2 linked regions of the Mus musculus genome follow. The protein of the gene in region 2 interacts with the protein of the main gene of each other region in a pairwise test. Links are inferred from orthologs where the notes say so. Each region holds a gene or a part of one and is shown on either strand. Other genes may lie near its edges.

Region 1 (5,927 bases), on a different chromosome or scaffold from region 2:
GCACACGGCCCTCACTGACTCAGCTCTGGCCTGGGCTTCGAGACTGTCACTTTGTCCGCACTGTTATGGACTCATACTTGTTAGTTAAGGCTTTCTCAGTTGAAAACCTTTCTGAACACAACTGTTAAGTCCAGACTTGGGGTGGGTGTCCAGGGTATGAGGTGTTTGCTTGTGTTTTAGTTTAGCACAGGTGAGCTTGTTGCTTAGTGACAAAGACAACATGAACAGAATCTTTTGTGATGACAGTTGGAAGTTGGAGAGGAAACCATCTCATCCCAACTGTGATCTCACTACTAGACGGCAGTGCTGAAAGCACGCAGAGCTACATGAAGACGGGCTGACGTTGGCGTGAAGGCCGGAGACTGGTAAAACAGCAGCATCTGCCACCCAATGAGAGCAAGCTGGCCCTGGCTGCTCAGAGTCCATCAAGAGCAGCCCTAAGTACATGATCTCGCCCTCTTCTTTCTGAGAAGTGACCCATGGAATCCAGTATAAATGTTGAAGTGAAGAACTGCACCTGATAAACTTGCATTTTCCTTTTTTTTTTTTTTTTTTTTTGTATTTTTATGTGTGTGAATTGTGTTGCCTGCATAGCGGTGTGCACCATGTGTGTGCCTGGAGTCCACAGAGGTCTGAAGAAGACACTGGCTTCCCTGGGACTGGAGTGACAGATGCTTGTGAGGGGCCATCTGCCAGAGCAGTCAGTGCTCTTACCCAGCTCCCGACATGGCTTCACTATCATCATGAGCAACTCCCGCTCTCGACCAAGCTTTTCTGTAGCTGTGTTGTGTCTGGCAGCAGACACTGAGCTGAAGCAGCTTACTGACAAGAGTTGTTGGGTTTTTTAAATACATTTATTAACCAATGTTAACACAGTAAATGAAATCTATATATTGCTAGTCAGAGCAGCTTACAAAATGCCAGAGGGCATCATAGAACTGGACAGCCACAATGGTACTTACAGTGTGCAGAGCGGGACACTCAACACCTTGATAGAGCTTTAGGATTGCAGAAAAATTTAATGAGTCCTAAAACAATCAATTGTAATTTTACCTAAAACTTTTACAAAACCAGGCCACAATCTCTTTTTTTAATTTTTTTTTTGTTGTTTTTTTTTAAAACACACAGTTTTCACACTGTAGTTACTTGGAAATGTGCAGCCGTGTCGACAGAGACAAGAAGCCAAAGTAACAGGGACCTCACGTTCATGCAGCTATCAGGTAAATAGTACATACTCTGGAATGATTTTACACCAAAAATATTCCCACAATAACTTGCTCTCACAGGGGTGGATCAACGTCTGAAAACAATCAAAGACCGTCAAGTGTCCTTGTTCGGGCAGCGCAGCAGCAGTGATGGTACACGGCAGCGAGGAGGGGGCGGTGGTGCCTGTAAGCTATTGCAGTTCCTGTATAACCCGAGGGAGCTCCTGGGCTACGGTTGGTTTTACAAAAGAGCTCGCCCCGTGCGCGTGTGTGGCAGTAGTTACGCCGTCTGCAGTAGCACCGGCACTGCGTGGAGGAGGCCTCACAGACGGCTCCTTCCTTTCATCTTTAGAGTGACCCTGATGAACCGGGGAAAACTGTCTTAAAGGCTTTTCTCCCGACTCTTTCACTTCTGTTTTGAGTAATTGCTTTAATAAATATCAAAGGTCTAAATAAATATTTACAAATTATTTCTCTAACCTCAAAAAATAACTAAAGGATAAAGTAGGAATTTGGTTCGGTCTGTGATGAGTCTTGGAGGAGAAAAAAAAACAATTGGTGAGATAGTTTTAAAGAAATTTAATTTTCCTGGTTGTCTTTTATATATCTATGTATAAAAAATGTTATTCAACTATCGATCCATTCCTACCAGTAACGCTGCTTAAGCAGACACCCCGCAGAATACGGACTTTGTACAAATCACGGCATCTTTAATACAAGGAACGGAGCATGCATTCTCACTGTGTACAGTCAGGGATTTGTTAGTAGCAGTGTGTGACACGCAAGTGCTCTCTCCCTCTGAGTAGGAGACACAGGGTGGGTTAGGGTGGCACTGGGGAGGGAAGGTGGGAGGGGACTCAGTTATAAACTCGTATGCCTCAGCTGTAATTCCGTGTTCTGAGTACAGGTAGTTTTTGGCTTTTGATTTTTGTTTTTGCTGCTGATTTTGTTACAAGCACTCATGTCAGGACAAAGATGAAATGTGCAAACTTTAAAATTTAAATATTCATTTTTCTCTAAGATCCAGCTCAGTAAAAGATTACCCCAGTTTCCCTGCAATTTTAAACTACAAGATCAAAGCTAATAATTTGTTATAAAAGTTATATATTGAAAAGAAATAATGAAAACACAATTGGGAAATATTTAAGAAAAAATCCGCAGGGCTAGCCCTGCTGTGTGAACCCTGTTCCCTATATTCAATCACATGCCGCCAGCACAGCCCCAGGCAAGGCCTGTAGGCAGTAAGCAAGCTGCCCAAAACCAGCTCAGCAAGGTCACGGCCAGGTAGTCTGTTCTGAAGCATCCGCTCTTACATTCAGCTCCGTTCTGTCTCTGTTAGACTCTCTCTTATTCACCTGTCGTTGTTTTTTTAAGATTTGTTGTTTAAAGGTTAAAATTTCTGTAAAACCTAAAAATGTTTTAAAATTTGCTGAAAATGCAACAAATCCGCAATTAGATTTATTTAGAGTAGTACCCTCCATTGATGTTACTTCAGCCCCCGAAAAATGCCGGAGGAGCATTAACAAAAGATTTAAACTACTGTGCAAAATTTCACCACGAAAAGTGTTTAAAGGCTGGTGCAAAATGGGAAGCAAATTCTAAACAATTTTGGCTTCTTGGGAACAAAAACCGCTGCGTGTGAGGGTGGCGGCAGGCTCATCTCTTCCGGCGGCAGGTGCGCTTGTGCTCTGCGTGCCAGTGCTCCTGCTGGCACTTGATGGAGCAGTAGGACGTGTTCCAGCAGCAGTGGTACATGGCCTCCTCCTCACAGTTGTAGCACTGCAGGGCAGGGGGCAGGGGGCACATGTGAGGGAGGCCAGCATCAACAGCCCAGGACCCGCTATGCTTCTAAGGCTTGCAAAGCTCTCTGGCTCAGACCAGCCCACAGGGGCATTCACACTGGAGTATCTCACGCCATCAGACCTCAGGTGTCTTCCCAGCACTGCATCAGCCCGGGTCTCACAGGCTCATTCATTCCGTCAGCTCCAGTGTCAGCTGTCCCTGCCCTCCTGCCGTGCTTCCCTCACATTCCTGAGTCCCTAACAGTTCTATCCTCCAACATCCCATCCCTCTACTGCATGTACATGATTGACACCTAGCACTCTCATCTCCATCCCTACCTCACATGGACATTCATTTGCTGTGTGGGTGCTCTGGATGAAGTGCTGGGCTCCTATGTGTTAGGGAATCACAATACTGTACAGCCACACCCAGACCTAGAGAGACCTTTTCCTCACTATTCTACCAGGGTCAGCGGGGTCAAAGGTGGCTAGTATTGAGGCCAGACTGTTAGACATGGGAGAAGAAATGAGGGGAAAGTTCATGCTTGAGTTTTAAGCAGGCAGAGCTGGTGGCTGCACCACTGTAGAGGTCTGCAGGGAGGATGAGCAGCAAAGCCAGAGCAACCAGGCTGTGCTCCTAACCCACGAGACTACAGCAGTCCTCTACAGCGGGCTGACAGACTTGCAAAATGATGATGGTGACCTAGAGTCCCAAAGCAGAACCCAGAACATTCTCTTTCACTGGCTGGTAAAGTGCAACCTTCCACTTTTCCTCTTGGTTGCAATGTTTGTTTTTGTCAAAATTAATATTTTGAGTTTTGTGATTTTTGTCACATCAACAATGGCAGCTTCTGCCCTACCACTCGCTGGCTGGGAGTAGAGTGAGCACAGGTTAGCCACTCGGGTTGGAATTGTAATCTTGGGCTGAGGCTACAGACTAAGCTTAGTTCATCTCCTGGTCTCCCTGACAGCCCTGCCTTCATCCCTTTTCTTGCAGATGCTCTGGGGACCCAGCTTTCCCAGCATGCTTTTCACTCCTCAGTTCTCATCTGACACTCAACATCTGTGTGTGTTCCTTCCTGTCCCCCTGTGAGTCCTTACCGTGGTGGGAGACAACATTCAGAGCAGAAAGCTGGGGTTTGGATCCTGATTTAGGACAACCCCACCTCTCATGCAACCTCAGTCAACATTCAGTGTCAGAAGTCTTCAAACGCCTGTCTCACTGCACTCCTGTCTCCTAGTGACCTTAGAGTCATGTGCTCAACATATCTAGTGTCATCAACATGGTGTCTGAGCCTTCTGACACCTAGGCCCATCTGTGACACCTGTCTCCTCAGGCAGCAGCCCCTCCCAGCACGCGTCCTCACAGGCTTCTGTGGGTGTGCCCACCTGCCCTTGTTGCTCTTGCTAAGTCTTTATAATACTTTTTCTTATCATATACTTCATGAAAACCTTATATATGTTTACATAATCTTAATAATAGAAGTTGGGTAAAAGGAAGAATTATCATGAAATGCTATATGGAATACCATCTAAATTGAAGCCAGGTTAGGAGCTCAAGGGACAATTGTCCACAAGGTAGCTCCTACAGGACTGTGGGGCTGAGAAAGTAGCCCAGGGCTCTGTCCCAAGGGGAAGAAAGGCTTAGAAACAGGACTTGGTGACACTTCCAAGTCGTCCTGAAGGGAGGGGACTTGCCAACCAATGACATACACTTACTATAAGCAAGAGGAAGCAATTTCTGTAAGCTACCATAACTGGAATGTCCTGTTGGGAGGCAGCCACCAGGTTTCAGCTTGGACACTACAGATGTCACTACAGTCGTCACTACTCGGCCAAGTGGAGCTTGAGCCCTCACACAGCAGTATCTGCACTGCTGGGGAAGATGCTGGTGACTGCACTCGCAGTGCCCTGCCTATGAGGGGCTCCAGGGCATGCTCTGAGTGCTCTGTGGTTATGGTTACTTCTGGGGGCCATGCGTGTGTGATTGTGCGTGTGCGCGTGCGTGTGAGCGAGCTGCCCTCACCACTGCAGGTATGGTCGTGTTCCCAGGAGCAGCGGGGACGGTGTACTCACCCACTGCTTCTTCTTGGTCTGGGAAATGAGCTGCTTGTGCTGCGCCGCTAGCTTCTTGATCTCCTCTACAAACTCTTCCTTGCACTTCTCCTTCAGCTGCTTACCCTTTCTGTCCATGTCGCCCTGCAGGCTGGCCACAGCTTTGTTCACGGCCTGTCTTTTTTCTTCTTCCATTTCAGAACGCAACTGAAATGAAGACAGCGACAGATCAGATCCACACATAGACAAGGCCTCACTGCTGGGATTAGGCTCTGTGCCCACTATTTTGGTCCACATAAAGGCTGTTAGCAAGAAAGTATTACTAATGTAAACTATGAGGAATACTGGCTCAGCCGCTCCTGTGAGAAGCTTTGCACTCTCCACCGCCCCCCAGCAATGCACAGCCCCACCTTTTCCAGCGCTTCACGGACCACTCTCTCTGTTTCCCGCTTGTGGTCCGACTTCATCCTGTCTTTAAAGTCATTAAAAATTTTGGTGTACTTGTCGTGGCACATGCTCTGACAGACGCCGTCGCTCGTCGTCTGAGTGCTTCGATGCAGCATTCGTGGGGAAGAGGCACTTAACTTCTTGGTCTGGGTTGACACTGACACCCTCTCAATTGGCTGAGGCATTGTGGGGATTTCCTGGCTGGAACTCACTGCTTCCGTTTCTGGCTCGGGTTCCTAAGGTGTTTAGAAGGAAAACAGGGTAATATAACTCACCCTGATTCAGTTAAGATAGAAAAACTCAGTGTATGCACACACGCATGTGTGCACGCACACACACTGCTGTTACCAAGCAGGTAATTAAGCTGGTCTCATGTTATATTTTATCAATTAAATAACCACTCCCCAGCCCCAATCAGTGAATGAAAAATTATAGAATA
Region 2 (6,415 bases):
TTTCCCTTCTTTAGACCAGAGTACTAAAGGGGTTCTGAGAATCAAATTAAGGTGATTAGCAGCAAGTATTCATCCACTGAGCCATCTTCTAGTGCCCTGACAGCTTTATTTTACATAATAAATATACATTTACATATATACATTTATAGCTACTATTACTGCTGTTTCAAAATAAGCTCTGATATGAATTTTTTAATTCTAAATTTAAAAACTGAAAATGAAAACCCAACAAAAATAATTTCTCAGGGCTATTGTTAATAGAGGACTCACATAGAATGCAAGGCCTTAGGGACTCAGTTCCCAGCACAACATAAACTGGCCCTCAGAGCACAATGGTAACCCTAGATTTTTTTCAGTAGGTTGGGTTAGGAAGAGCAGTTCAATTACCTCCTTGGCTACATAAGGAGCTTGAGTCAGCCTGGGCTACATGAGACCCTCTCCAAAACAAAACAAAACAAAACTATTCAAACTTAGCTATGTGTTTATAATTATAGTACTCAGGAGAAGGAGACAGAGGCGGGAGGATTGAAAGTTCCAGGCCAGTCTGAGCTATATAGCAAGGATAGGACTTAAAAACACACATAAACAAACATTTATTCAGCTGACCTCCTTGAACAAAAGTCATTCTGAAACTGCCAATATATATTTGTTTTCTAAAATGTATCATTGTACTTGTTTAGGCCAAAGGTACATATCAGTTAAACATCTGTGTGTATATGTGTGTCTCTTCATGGCACATACATTGAAGAACACAGATGATATAAAATGACAAGATTAGCCCTAGACTCATTCTGTTGAACCAGGCTGGCCTTGAACTCAGAGATTCACCTGCCACTGTCTCCCAAAAGCTGAGACTAAATACATGTGCCACCACTGCCAGGCTGAATATCTTTTAAGAACATGACCAAGATCTGGAGAGAGGCTCAGTCCTTAAAAGTATTGGCTGTCCTTCCAGAGGAGAGAGGACCTGGGTTCAATTCCCAGCACCAACATGAAGGCTCACATCTGCCTATACCTCCAGTTCCACGGGATCCAGCCACCTCCTCTGCCCTCTGAGGGCACTGCATATCACGGTGCACAGATATACATGTAGACAAAATGCCCAAACACAAGCAATATTATAACTTTTTAAAAAGAGTGCATGAAAGTAGGGTCTGGAGAGATGGCTCAGCAGTTAAGAGCACTGGCTATTCTTCCACAGGTCCTGAGTTCAATTCCCAGCCCCCACATGGTGGCTCATGGCCATCTATAAAGGAATCTGATGCCCTCTTCTGTCATGCAGGTGCACATGTAGTAGAGCACTTATAAATAAATAAACTTTTAAAAAAAGAGTGCATGACAGTAAAAGAGAAAATACCTCATCACATCACTTTTCCATATGAGTGTGAATTAAACAAAACAGGAACTCTTTGAAACAAGCCTCCATGTGTATGCTATCAACTACATTAGTAAGACAGCAAACCTCTGCTCCTTTTCAGCAAAACCAAGAATCCTGAAAGGTAAAACCACTGTGACATCTTTCGTGTCCTACCCTCAAGCCAAGCAAGTTCAGATGCTTGGAGACGAAGCTACCGATGAGCATCTTCTACACAGACACATTTATGTTTTCAGCCTTAGCATATTTTCAAACCATCTGGTATCTATGTATGCCTCTCTGGTTTGCCAGACTAATCTGTTCAGAAGTGAGTATAACACTAGAGCTATATGCACTGTGGGAAAAGCAAAGAACAGCACATAGTTAAAGTTGGTGTTCCAAATGCTGAGCTATAAGCTGGTTATACCTGACCTGTATGTTTAAAGCATCTCTACCAAAAACATTAAGCTCTTTTGAGAATGTACAAATGGCTCAGGACTGTCATAAGTTACGGAAGTCACTAGGACTCTTGGAGTTTATTTTTTCTCATTTTGTTTGTTTGTTTGTTTCGAGACAGGGTTTCTCTGTGTAGCCCTGGCTGTCCTGGAATTCACTTTTTTAGACCAGGTTGGCCTCGAACTCAGAAATCCGCCTGCCTCTGCCTCCCAAGTGCTAGGATTAAAGGCATGTGCCATCATGCCCGGCTTTTTTCTCATTTTAATCTAAGCAGTCAAATAAAACATATCAAGAGGTAGTTCTATAAAAAAAATCATTGATAAATAAAATACTATAAATTCTATATTAACAAAAATGCCTAAGGGTCAGTGAGGTGTTTGGTCAGTAAAAACATTTACCACCAAGCCTGACAACCTGAGTCTGCTACCCAGAACTCCTGAAAGTTGTCGTCTGACCTCCACATGCAGGCAGTGGGATGTGCACATAACTGCACTCAAACACAAATAAACAAAAATGTAAAAAATTAGTATCTAAGATTGAGATGGTGGTACACACTTGTAATCCCAGCACTGACAAGGAAGAGGCAGGAGGACTGCCATGGCATCAAGGCCAGACTAGGCTATGTTTTGAAACTTCAATTCAAAACAAAATCTAAGATTATGCATTTTACTTTGCCTAAAATTAGTCTGTATACTTTTAAAATGCTTGGAGGATGGAGAGAGAAACTAAGATAAAAAATATTCATGAATGTCCTTTTCCTTATATGCCCTGTTACCCAACTACTGTCCCTGGCAGCACTCAGCCTTTCTTTCCTTCGCTTAAAATCTGGAATCAGAATTGCTTCTTTAGAAATAATCTATGTGCCAGTAGCCTTGTTTGAACAAACTTCTATTAATCCCCACTGCCAGTTTGAAATAATGACTTTTTCAAGGCATTTTAAAAAGAAACAGGTAATTACTACTGCATACAAATTAAAGTGTTAGGACAAAGACTTCTGAAATACAATGACCAGCACCACAAATAGAAAGGTGTACTTGTGTACCCCACAATACACAGTCTTTTCCTGGGGAAGGAGTGGTCCTTCCGGATTTTCATTTGCCATAATATTAATCTCCGAGAGAATTGCTTCTTCGAATTGCATGGAATCCCACCCTAAAAATGTCACAACTTCTCAATCGGCCTTTCTCATAATTTCCTCCTAAATTTTATCTCTTCTTGGTTTGTTTTGGTCTTGTCTTTTAGAGAAGGGTTAGTGACAGAAAAGTACTGTGAGCATTCCTACTTTATCTATGCTTCTTCTCTACATTCAGTTTTCCAATTGCTTTGCCCAGAGTAAGCTAAGGATAGCAAACAGAATCTTATTCTTCCGTTTGGTTCGTTTCTTACTGGTACCTTTGGAGTACCGAAACAAAGAATTCTAAGTCCCTCTCTTGGAACTTCGGTGTAAATACACAAGAAATGAGTCAGGGCTCGGCTTTCCTGCCATCAGACCCCAGTCCTTTTTATTCCCTCCTAGCCAATTCCCTTTAAGCCCCAAGGCTTGGAGTTTCCTCTGGTCCATCGCTCTCCCAAGTCTGCACTCCCGCTCCACTACCTAAGCAGAGACAAGTGTGTTTCCACCCTCTTTAATGAACTTCTCCCCTAAAAGCCTGCTCTTCCTCAAAATATACTTCGCACTATACTTCTTGGGGATGCAACTCCTGAGTCTTCTCTGCTGAGGTTTCCCGTTGCTCCGACCCCAAAGCCAGTGCGCTACAGTCCAGCCGGAGATCCTTGGCTGACTCTTCAGAGGGGGGCTGCGCCGTGTCCCCACGAGGTGGCCTCACGCCTCCGGAGGCCCAACGCTGGAGATCTTCCCCAGGACCCGCACGGTAGTTAGGGTCCGCTGTCCCAGAGACGTCCTTCCCCCCAGGGAGACCGGCTCCCCATCCCCTCTGCGCCCCCAAGTTACTCAGTGCTCTCCCAACCAAGGCGCTGGGGCTTTCCCTCCAAACCCTCCACCCAGAGCTCCGTCCTCGCTCTGACAACCCCCGAGAGAATCCGGGAGCTGCGACTCCGTCCGCCCCGCCGCGGGGCAGGCCCAGTTCCCCCCGGGTCCGATCTTGCGTGCCCCAGCACCGTGGGCTGGGTCCCGAAGAGGGGGGGGGTGTCTGTGTCCCGCTGCTGCCCCGTCCCGTGTCGCGCCAGCGCCCGCGCCTCTCGGCTTCCCTACCCGCCGCGAGTTCCTGCTCGGGTTCCACCCGCAACCGCGAGGCCCAGTCCCCAGCCCGCTCGCGCAGCTACCTGCAGGGGCCGCCTCGCCTCAGCGCCTCGCCGCCGCCATCTTGCATTTCAGAGCGACTGCACTTTTCAGGGAGTCAACTCTGACCCGTGAACCCTAACCCCGGAACCACTCGGAGGGCCCTCGCGCGAGGGGGCCCCCCACGGAGCTCTGCAGCCCGGCAGAAGCGCCGAGAGGCCAGGCCAGGGTGCGAGAGAGACTCCGCTCCCTGAACCCACAAGGGCCGCGAGGAGGAGCCAGCCGAGGCGGGGACGAGCCGGGCACCCCACTCGAGGACTCCGCCGCTCCTCTGGGATGCGACCCAGGCCGCTCCTCTAGAACCGGGCGCTGCGGGAGGTGTGCGCCGCCCCGCCCTCTGTCAGGGAGAGTCACGCCCCCTGTCAGGAGGGGGCCACGCCTCTGTCACTAGAAGCCACGCCCCGTCGCGAGAAGCTCCTCCTCCAGGGCCTGCGAGGCTCCGCCCCGTTCAAGCGATTGCTCGGCCAGCGGTCGTCAGAAGTCGGACCCCGCCTCCCGCGACCTCGGTCGCTTTCTTCCCTTGAAACTGCCTAGGTCCTCCGAAACCAACCCCATCTCTCCCGGAGCCGGCGTCCTAAGGCCCCGCCCCTCCCTAAGCCACGCCCACTGTCACTCTCGGCTCCTCCTTGGCAGCGCCCTCTGGATGCCAGCCGCGCCCCCACCCGCTGTCAACAGTCCCGCGCTCCTGTCAGCCGCTGCTCCGCCTCTTCCTAGCCCGAGTCCAGCAGGAGCCCCGTAGTTCCAGCTTTGGACGGGAAAAGTTAAGTGTGGCCCCACTTGGAGCCTCCCGCCTCTGCTTCCTGCTGCCGTCCCTCTTTCCCCGGAGAGCCACTGACTGAAGCCGAGCTCTCCGCAGTGGGCACCAGCCCCGCAGCGCGGCCAGCCGAGGACCTCAGCGTCTTCCCCACCTCTGCCCTTCAGCCCTCTCGTCATTGTTCCATTGAATATAACAAACGAGGGCGAAAGGAAACCACTCCGAGTGTTCGCTCCTGTACTCGCCGCTCCGGACGGACGTAAGAGAACTCTTTGGCGCCTGGATGTTTAGTCCCCACCCCCATTCCAGTCATGGACCCTTTTGTGTTTTGATAGCAGAGCTCCACCAAGCCACACCAGCCCGAAAATTTGCACTCTGCATTTACATGAAGGGAAGACCTGGCTGCTGATATCAACGTGCACAATATTTAGTTGCATCCTAAAATTCTAAAACTTGTGTATGCTGAGGCTTAATGGTCTCACCAGCAGAGGAACCCAACCCTGTCCCACTCTCGGCCCATTCTTAAAACAAAAATTAATAGCGCTCAAGCCCCTTGAAACTAAATTCAGAATGCAAACTACTTATACAAAGAATTTAAGAAATCAGTGTAGTTTTTAATAGAAAGTGGTTTAATGGAAAGTATTTATAATACAGTACTAACATCAGTAAAATAAAACAATGCATTCTCCACAATGTATTTAATACACAATGTGTTTAAATACACAATGTATTTATGTATCCCTCATAAGAAAAATACAAGACAAAAAGTTACACACACACACACCAGTTTATGCTCACCCCAAAGACAGTTCCAGGTCCACTGAGAATCCCAGTTTAGGATTTAACTCTGAACAAAGAAAATATTTTAAATTCAGATATTCAACCTTTTGTTCATGCATTCAACCATTTGCTTTTTGAGGACCACATGTGCCGGACACTAAAGGAGATGTAAAACTGAGTAAGGCCATCCTGTTGTCCGTTGGTATCTAAAAGGGATTGTTCTGGAACCCTCCATGATACCCAAATAGAGTGTTGTTCAAGTCCCTTAAATAAACTGGTATGGAATTTGCATATAATCTGTGCACATGCCCCGATGGAATTTACCTCATCTCTATTAGGATGATGTAGACACCAGGCAAAGAGCTGCTGTACTGTAACTGTTTAACATACCGAGACAAGAAAAAAAGTTGACTCGTTCAGCAGAGATGCATGATTTTTTTTTTCCTGAACATTTTGATCCACAGTTGGTTGAATCATAGATGTGGAAGCCATGGATCCGGAAGGCTCTGTTCTGTCTTCCAGGATCTTACAGACTAGATGCTAGGCAAAAACACATGCTCATAGAATACATCAAAGTGAAAATTGAGGAGAATCTGAAGTGGCTGAGGCATATGGACTTCGCTTTCTAGCTCTCTCTCTCTCTCTCTCTCTCTGTTTCCCTTTTCTTATTCCTCCTTTTTAGCACTAGTTTATAGTCTTATCCCTCTCTCTCTAAAGCAGCCAGCCTGTTTCACTCCCCAAAGCCTCCCAATTTAAGGTCACTCCCACAGGG

What was found. The genes of interacting proteins can lie anywhere in the genome.
Region 1: the proteins of Zhx1 (region 2) and Zmynd11 interact in a two-hybrid assay, tested with the Homo sapiens proteins (2 studies listed by BioGRID and IntAct). The link is inferred for Mus musculus from reciprocal best matches to the Homo sapiens genes ZHX1 and ZMYND11.

The regions. Positions count from the first base shown.
Region 1 is NC_000079.6:9,684,001-9,689,927, forward strand, and holds the end of Zmynd11 (zinc finger MYND domain-containing protein 11), read right to left. Parts: intron 5,725-5,927; coding exon 5,452-5,724; exon of another isoform or gene 5,249-5,451; coding exon 5,063-5,248; intron 2,985-5,062; coding exon 2,862-2,984; 3' UTR 836-2,861; downstream 1-835. UniProt on the Homo sapiens protein: Chromatin reader that specifically recognizes and binds histone H3.3 trimethylated at 'Lys-36' (H3.3K36me3) and regulates RNA polymerase II elongation. Does not bind other histone H3 subtypes (H3.1 or H3.2).
Region 2 is NC_000081.6:58,072,064-58,078,478, forward strand, and holds the start of Zhx1 (zinc fingers and homeoboxes protein 1), read right to left. Parts: upstream 4,446-6,415; 5' UTR 4,094-4,445; intron 1-4,093. UniProt on the Homo sapiens protein: Acts as a transcriptional repressor. Increases DNMT3B-mediated repressive transcriptional activity when DNMT3B is tethered to DNA. May link molecule between DNMT3B and other co-repressor proteins.